Callithrix jacchus: one gene and its partner. The protein of the gene in region 1 interacts with the protein of each later gene in a pairwise test. Links are inferred from orthologs where the notes say so. Each region holds a gene or a part of one and is shown on either strand. Other genes may lie near its edges. The genes, in order: IFT25 and IFT27.

Evidence for each region.
Region 2: the proteins of IFT25 (region 1) and IFT27 interact in binary tests that used the Homo sapiens proteins (3 or more experiments, as listed by UniProt). The two-hybrid records come from large-scale screens. The link is inferred for Callithrix jacchus from reciprocal best matches to the Homo sapiens genes IFT25 and IFT27.

What each region holds. Positions count from the first base shown.
Region 1 is NC_133508.1:91,059,418-91,063,233, reverse strand, and holds part of IFT25 (intraflagellar transport protein 25 homolog), read left to right. Parts: coding exon of another isoform or gene 1-103; exon of another isoform or gene 104-187; intron 188-2,071; coding exon 2,072-2,178; intron 2,179-3,816. Other genes in the region: small ribosomal subunit protein uS2, read left to right, coding at 1-103. UniProt on the Homo sapiens protein: Component of the IFT complex B required for sonic hedgehog/SHH signaling.
Region 2 is NC_133502.1:207,709,227-207,713,715, forward strand, and holds the start of IFT27 (intraflagellar transport protein 27 homolog), read right to left. Parts: upstream 2,981-4,489; 5' UTR 2,946-2,980; exon of another isoform or gene 2,583-2,945; 5' UTR 2,555-2,582; coding exon 2,521-2,554; intron 1-2,520. UniProt on the Homo sapiens protein: Small GTPase-like component of the intraflagellar transport (IFT) complex B that promotes the exit of the BBSome complex from cilia via its interaction with ARL6. Not involved in entry of the BBSome complex into cilium. Prevents aggregation of GTP-free ARL6.

The DNA of each region.
Region 1 (3,816 bases):
CCCTACTGAAGACTGGAGCGCCCAGCCTGCCACGGAAGACTGGTCTGCAGCTCCTACTGCTCAGGCCACTGAATGGGTAGGAGCAACCACTGAATGGTCTTAAGCTGTTCTTGTGTGGCCTCTTAAACAACATGTAAGATTCATGGAAAATAAACATCGAGTTTCTAAAAAAAAAAAAAAAAGAAAATCACTCTAGCTATATTCATATAATACAAAGTAGAATGTAAGACAAGGAGCATTACCAGAGACAAAGGGGACATTTTATAATGTTAGAGGGTCAATTCATCAGGAAGAGAGGATAATCCTAAGTGTATATGGACCTAATAATAGTTCTTTAAAATACATAAAGCAAAATCTGACAGCTGAAGGGAGAAATAGACAAATTCACAATTATAGTTAGAGATTTTAATACCCTTTTCTCAGTAATGATAGAACAATTTGGCAGAAAATCAATAAAGACATAGATGATCTGAATAGTATCATAACCTCGACTTTGTTGACAGTTATAGAACACTATAATCAACAACAAGAACATATTAATGGGTTGGGTGTGGTGGCTAATGCCTGTAATCCCAGCACTTTGGGAGGCCGAGGTGGGCGGATCACCTGAGGTCGGGAGTTCGAGACCAGCCTCACCAACATGGAGAAAGCCTGTCTCTACTAAAAATACAAAATTAGCCAGGCATGGTGGCGCATGCCTGTAATCCCAGCTACACGGGAGCCTGAGGTAGAATTGCTTGAACTTGGGAGGCAAAGGTTGTGGTGAGCCAAGATCACACCATTGCACTCCAGCCTGGGCAACAAGAGTGAAACTTCATCACAAAGAAAAAAAAAAAAGGAAAATGGAATGCAAATAGTACAACCACTTTGGAAATCTGACAGTTTCTTATAAAGTTAAATATACTTTTACCCTATGTCCCAGCAATTTCACTCTTAGTAATTACCCAGAGAAATGAAAACATGTTCACAAGCACCTGTACAAGCATATCTGTAGCAGCTTTGTTCCTAATAGTAAAAAAGTGGAAGCAATTACAATATCCAACAACATATCAAAGAAAATCATGAATAAAAACATTGTGGCATAGTCTGGTGATAGAAAGCAAAGCAGTGGTTGTCAAAGGGAGGTAGGGATTTCTGGAAGGAAAGATAAGGGAAATTTCTGGAGTTATGGAAATGTTATATCTACTGGAGTATTGGTTACATAAGCATGTACATTTATCAAAACTCATTAAGTTATACACTTAAGGTGAATTTCACTGTAGGTAAATTTTATTTCCAAAAAAAGAAAAAGCTTATGTAGTTGAAATGATTATTTCTGTAGTCAAAATTATATATACTGTTTTGCCTATATGTGACTTAAAATTGAGTTCATGTTTTAATTTTTGTTTGAACAAACATTTAGGTTGTCTCTGCTATGGGTGAGCCATTGTAGCAGTTGTAGGGTTACAAAGATGAGTAAGGGAAGGAAGCTGGGCTCAAAGAGCTCAGCATTTAGCAGGAGCCATAGAAACAGGAGATTAAGTGCCAACGTAGAAATAGAGGCTAAGTGTGAGATAAGTGCAAAAGAGGGAGGCAGTGATTCTGAATTGGTGGGGTTAGATAAATGAGACCAAAAAGTGAATGAACTTAAGGGGAAGAAGGGTTTTTCAGGTAAAAAAAAAAAAATACTCATGAATGAACCAAGGTACAGAAGCATAAGCCTGCATTAACATATTTGCAGAATTTTAAGTGGCCCAGTGTGACCACAGTAATGGAAGAGAATATACCTTAATTATGGAACCAGATTGTACAGTCTTAAATGCCATACAAAGGAGTTTAGAATTATAGGCAATAAGGGAGCATTGAGGCTTTTGAATAGGAGTGATACCTATTCTGTTTCTGTGTTTTAGAAAAGAATACCTGATAGTAGTAAAGAAGAATTATTAAAATTAGAGATTAGAGATTATAGGCAGAATTAACAGAAAGGAGATATAAAAGTTCAGTAGTCATTTAATTTTAAAGAACAGGTATTCAATACAATTTTATAATTAACCATTTATATTTGGCTATTTTTTTTTTTAATTAACAATAGGAATCCAGACACATTTTGGACCACTACAGGAATGTTTCCCCAGGAATTCATTATTTGTTTCCACAAACATGTAAGGATTGAAAGGCTTGTAATCCAAAGTTACTTTGGTAAGCAAATCTTACATTAATTTTTTCTTTTTTTTTTTTTGGTGCTCCAGGTAAGGCTCATATGTTAATTTTCATTATCCTTTAATTTTTTCCACAGGCAGAAGGCATGTATGTAAACTTTTGGCAAAACACTAGTTTTTCTTTATAGCATGGAATCCAGTTTTATTGCTTGGGTGAAAGGATGGGGATTATGGATTAACTGCCTTGAGCTCAATTGGCCTCTCTGAAACTGCAAATTTGAAACCCTTCCAAAGCACATAATAATTTCCATGCAGTTTACTATGTGAAAGTCTTTGACAAAAGGCCCTATTAGGAACATTAGACGCCAGTTTGCCAGAACACTAAGTTCCATGACTGGAACTTAGTGGGCTCATGCCCATAATCCCAGCATTTTGGGAGGCTAAGGCGGGCAGATCGCTTGAGCTCAGGAATTCAAGAGACTAGGTGGGCAACAAGAGACTAGGTGGGCAACATGGAGAAATAGATTCATTTGGCCAGGAGTTCTTTGTCCAATTCTGGTTGAAAATCTGATAACCCTGATTATTTACATTGGATAGTTGTGATTCTTCTATTACTAGTGGCATTTTCTGAGGAATTTGGGAGGAGAATCTCCCTTGGGACATCATTCTAATCCTATTTATCTATTTAAGAATAACATTATCAGACAAAATCATGGCAGGAAACAGAATGCATCCTAGATGGGTCAAATGAAGAGGCTCTATTGATGGGACTACCTGCAAAATTATGGCTTGGGTTAAGGGAACAAACAACGCAAGGAATGATGAGGCCCTCAGTAACTAACTATAGCTGGAAGCTGTGACCAGCCCTGGGAAGGAAATAGTGTTATTAGAGATCTGTGAGAGCTGGAGCCTGTGTGAAAGGACCTAACAGGAGCTGTAGGCAGGAGAAACTGTCAAAGATGTGGCACTGAAGCAGGTAGGGAATGGAGATAATAAAATAGGCTGATCTTACTTCCCCACACCAGTCTCCCCATGGTGTCCCCCACTGGCCAAATCCAATAAGAAGCCAGTAGGTAAGTGAATCCAGGTGATGTAGTCCACAGAGGTTAGCTTCTCATGGCACAGAACAGGACAAAGAGGAGGAGGAATGGATCTGGAGTGGTAGAGACTGGACTGGGGACAGTGGAGAAAAGACTGTATTCCTGTTAAGTCTCTCTTTAAAAAAAATTTTTTTTAAGTCTCTCTTTTGTCATTAATTGTGGAGACTCTGGAGTCAGACCTAAAGTTTGAATTCCATTTCTGGCACTTACTAGCTATATATCATTGAACACCTTGCTTGGCTCCATGAAACCTGTTTTCTTACCAATAAAGTGGGTTAAAATATTTTTCTCATGATATTGTAGTCAAAAGTGAATGGATAAATATGTCTGACTCATCATAGGCTCTCCATGAATGTTCATGATCAAGACACCAATAGTATTATTATTGCCAGAACACAAAAAAAATCTGAATAAAGCCAATTCAAAAAAGCTCTACTTGCTCTGCGTTATGTGGTTGCAAACATTTGGAAGATTAGTTACACAAGACTGTATTTTACCATAGGGTTTTTTTTTTAAAACACAGAGTAACTTCCATGATGTTTCTGATCCCAGTGCTCTGTGTAATTCCATTGTGCATG
Region 2 (4,489 bases), on another chromosome or scaffold:
GACTCACGCTTGCATTCCCACTGCACCTTGCATGGTGACTCACACACAGTAGGTGCTCAGCCAGTATCTGTTCAAAGCATCAACACTTGAACTGAACGTCAGCTCCTTCAATGACTAGATACGTGAGAGAAAAAACAGAGCAACTCAGTTTAAACAGCAGGGCTATGGGGCATGGATGGAAAAATAAAACCAATGCTGTAGGTGTGTGTGTGTGTGTGTGTGCGCGTGCGCGTGCACGCGTGTGGTGGGCATGGCAAAGTGGGCTGATTTCTGGGCTGAGGTCTTTTGGTCCCCAGAAACTTTCAAGAGGAAATGCTGCGGAGGCCTTGAAAAGAGGCTGCAGGCCAGGCGCAGTGTCTCATGCCTGTAATCCCAGCACTTTGGAAGGCTGAGATGGGCGGCTCACTTCAGGTCTGGAGTTCAAGACCAGCCTGACCAACATAGTGAAACCCCATCTCTGCTACAAATACAAAAATTGGCATGGTGGCATGTGCCTGTAATCCCAGCTACTTGGGAGGCAGAGACACGAGAATCGCTTGAACCTGGGAGGCAGAAGTTGCAGTGAGCTGAGATTGTGCGCCATTGCATTCCAGCCTGGGTGACAGAGTGAAACTGTGTCAAAAAAAAAAAGGGGGGGCCAGGTGTGGTGGTTCACACCTGTAATCCCAGCACTTTGGAAGACTGAGGTAGGTGGATCACTCAAGGTCAGGAGTTCAAGACCGCCTGGCCAACATGGTGAAACCCCGTCTCTACTAAAAAATATGAAAAAATTAGCTAGTCATGGTGGCAGGCACCTGTAATCCCAGCTACTCAGGAGGCTGAGGCAGGAGAATTGCTTGAACCTGGGAGGCAGAAGTTGCAGTGAGCCGAGATTGCGCCAGTGTGCTCCAGCCTGGGCGACAAGAGTGAAACTCCATCTCAAAAAAAAAAAAAAAGAAACAGAAGATGAGGATCATGGCTTGAGGACAGCGTAGCCTGGGCTAAAGCCCTGGAAATCAGGTTGGAATCCAGGGTCTGGATCATACAGTTCTGCCGTTTCCAGCTGTGTGACCCACAGCAAATGTCCTCATTTTTCTGGAACTCAGTTACCTCATCTGTAAATGAGAATGGCAATACCACCAATCCTACAGGGTTGCTGTGAGGATTCAGTGAGACCACCTGTAATCGAGGGTCTATCCCAGAGCTGGTGCCCAGAAAGTGTTCAGTAAGTTAGCTCCACGCTGAAAACCGAATTTAAAAGGAACAGAGATAAGCCCATTGAAAAAGAAATATATAACTTCAGAAAATAATGTTCCCAACTTATCCATAAAGAAATTAAAGCTCAAAAAAGTGCTTTGTCCAAGATGACACAGCCAGTAAGAGGAACGGGCAGAATTCCTTTTGTTACACAACACTGCCTCCTCTGGTGCTCTGCAAACAGGAGACTCTCCTGAGAACCATTCATTTCTTTTGCTCCAGTATGATTCAGTTACTACTGTCAGAGTCATCTTTCTATGTTACCCTTTTACTTTCAAATTATAAAAGCCATTACAAATATGATCATTTACTTTCAGTCTGGAAGAGTGGACTTTTTTTTAAAAAAAGAAATCTCTTTTTCTCTATGTAATTTCTCACCACTTCTTTCCTGAGCTGGTGGGGAAGCCCGGAAAGGTCACAGCTTTCAACGGAAACACGAGTTAAGAGTTTCAGAGTTGGGCAGATCTAGTACGTAGCCCAGAGTGCTACAGTGGGACCATTTCATGCAATATGTGTGCCTCGTATGCAGTAAGGATCCAGTAACGTGCGTATGTGTTTCGTGTAGTCAAAAGGTCTATAATCCAAGCCATTTTTTCTAAATATGCAGACTGATACGATGCACTAAAAATATGCGAGCCACATAGCCATCCACTCTGAAAGTATTAATCGAGTGCTTACTATGTTCCAGGTATTATTCTGGGCGCTTGGGATATATCAGTCAACAAAACAAAGATTGCTGCCCTTGGGAGACTCAACATTTATGTCCTTCTTGGAGCGGGGCAGCACAGTAAATTTGGGTCTTAAAGACAACACACAAGTGCCTTTTGCGAACTCGGGTCACTACACTCCTGTCACCGTTATCAGAGGGGGTGAGGTCAAGGGAAAAAAATCCCACAGTAAAGACTACCAAAGTCACCGAGCCTAACTTTGGGGTACAGTAAATATTTAGCTGAAGGACTCAAGGTTTGCTTAAGTTTTGTTTTAACGAGTCTGCTGCTCCAGAGTTTTAACTAGTGACTTTTTTAACGAGTCAGTTCAACCGGTGAAGGTGGTCTCGGCGTATGGCAGGGAGCAGGGGGAATCCGCTGGAGCTGCGAATGTGCCACGGAGGATCTTTCTTCCGCGGCTAATGTAATTTACTGTATCAGTAATGGCAGTAACTCGCCTTTAGGAGAGAGAGAGGAAAAGAAGGTAGGAAATTTAGGTGAACAAAAGCTTTGGATGAATTTTGAAGGCCTGGGACTCCAGAGACCGCTGTATTCAAGCGCAAGTTTTCAGACTCACCTGCCAGGATGCATTTGGCTGCCAGCTTCACCATGGTAACCAACACTCCCGCGAGCCGTACCCTGAGGACAAGAGCGGCTGCTAGAGGCGCGGGTGGGTGGGCTTCGGGCCCTGGGCCGTCCTGGAACGGGGAGGTGGGGAGGGCTGATCTCAAGGGCCGGTGGCCGCGGCGGGGCTGGGGATGACCGGGCCCAGCCCTCCTGGGCTGTGGGCGGTTAATGGGCGCTGGGAGCGGTGTATAGGGGGGCTCCAGATGGGTCCGGCTCGAGGCCCGACACGGCAGTCTGAAAAGATGCAAGCGAGCGGACACGGCCTGTGCTCCCGGCACAGCTCCTCAGCCCAGCCTTCCCCAGCGGGGCCAGGGAAGGATCTCCTCCCGCCCCAAGTACCCGGCCAAACGCACACTCCAGGCAACCATAACCCACCTGCCCCGCCTCCCCCTCCTCGCTGACTCTCGATTGGTTGTCGCCAATAGCTCCCACCCTCGAGGGCTTGCAAAGACCCAATGGGAGTAGAGGGTGGGGACAATAGCCTTTTCTTGAGACACAATTCGTGAAGTTATTTGTTCTTCAAGTTCATTCTGCTGGACAAGTGGTTGTAAATGACGTCAGTCAGCTTTATATCCCGCCCCTACGGCGCCATAGAGTCCCGAGGTAAAGAAGTCTTCACGTCAGGCTGACAGAAGCGGTAAGAGAAGCTTTCTGACTGGTCGGAGGCTGGCTAGGCCCGTCTTCGGGAGGAATGGGGATTCGCCACTCCCGCTGTCCTTCTGGAAGTGGGTTCGCCTACCAGGGGGCGAACTCTAGCAGGTCCGGCTCTAGGCGTTCTGGGGCGACGCCAGCGCGGTGGGCCGGGCTGCCGCTGCTGAGGCCGTATTGACTTGGTTTGAGTTCGCAGCGGTTCTAGTGGCTTCCCCGGTTCCCGGGTTCTGCACAGCGCGGCTATTACAGTGCGTCGAGAAGTTCAGTTCTTGGCCCGCATCCCTCAGGGAAATCTCATTTTAAAAGCCCAAAGATGTTATGAGCGTTAAAATCTAAAATACGGTGTTTCGAGTGATATTTGTGAATAAAGGGAGAACGGGCACGCTTTGATGGGGCTGAGCGGGGAGACTCGGGAACTTGACGTCGTTCTTTCCTCTTAGTCCATTTACCGTCTGGCAAAGGGAGGACGCATCGCTCACCACGCCGCGCGCGCGTCGCCCGGGGAGGCTCTGTCTACGCGGCTGTTTTCCGGGTCAGGGGTCTCTTGCACGTGGTTGGAGAGCGAGAGACCTAAATCACTGCGTCTTTCTGGCCTGGGAAAGTTAACTCATCCCTCAGCCTCTCAGGATGGGCCTCGGAGAACCCACCTCGTGGGGTGGGTGTGGGGGTGGAAGGAGAGAAACCTGTGAGTTAGTAGGTTCACCAGTGATCGTGGGGTGCATGAGAGAGACGAAGCTTATCTGGTTTATCATCGCTGCCATTGGTTGGCCGAATGTACCCCCTGTCCTCACTCTCTCGGGGCCCCTGGGATTTCTGATGGCTGATGCTGACGGGAAGAGCAGCCCCTCAGTAAAGGTGCCTGTGTGGAGGCTCCACATTCCCTGCAGTCCACCTCTCCACCACTCTGCACCTCAGGGTGGCCGCCAGCCTTGTGTCGGGGAATGCACACACACACTCTATGAATGACTGATGGTTTCGGCTCTGAATCTGGAGTAAAACAATGCAAGTTGTCTGCACGTTCTTTCCTTGGGATTCATTCCTGGTGTTACGGCAAATGCCGTTCAGCCTGGGGACTGCCCAGGCCGGGCGCGGTGGCTCACACCTGTAATCCCAGCACTTTGGGAGGCCGAGGCGGGTGGATCACGAGGTCAAGCGATCCATCCTGGTCAACACGAGGTTGCCACCATCCTGCTCAACATGGTGAAACCCTATCTCTACTAAAAATACAAAAAATTAGCTGGGCATGGTGGCGCGTGCCTGTAATCCCA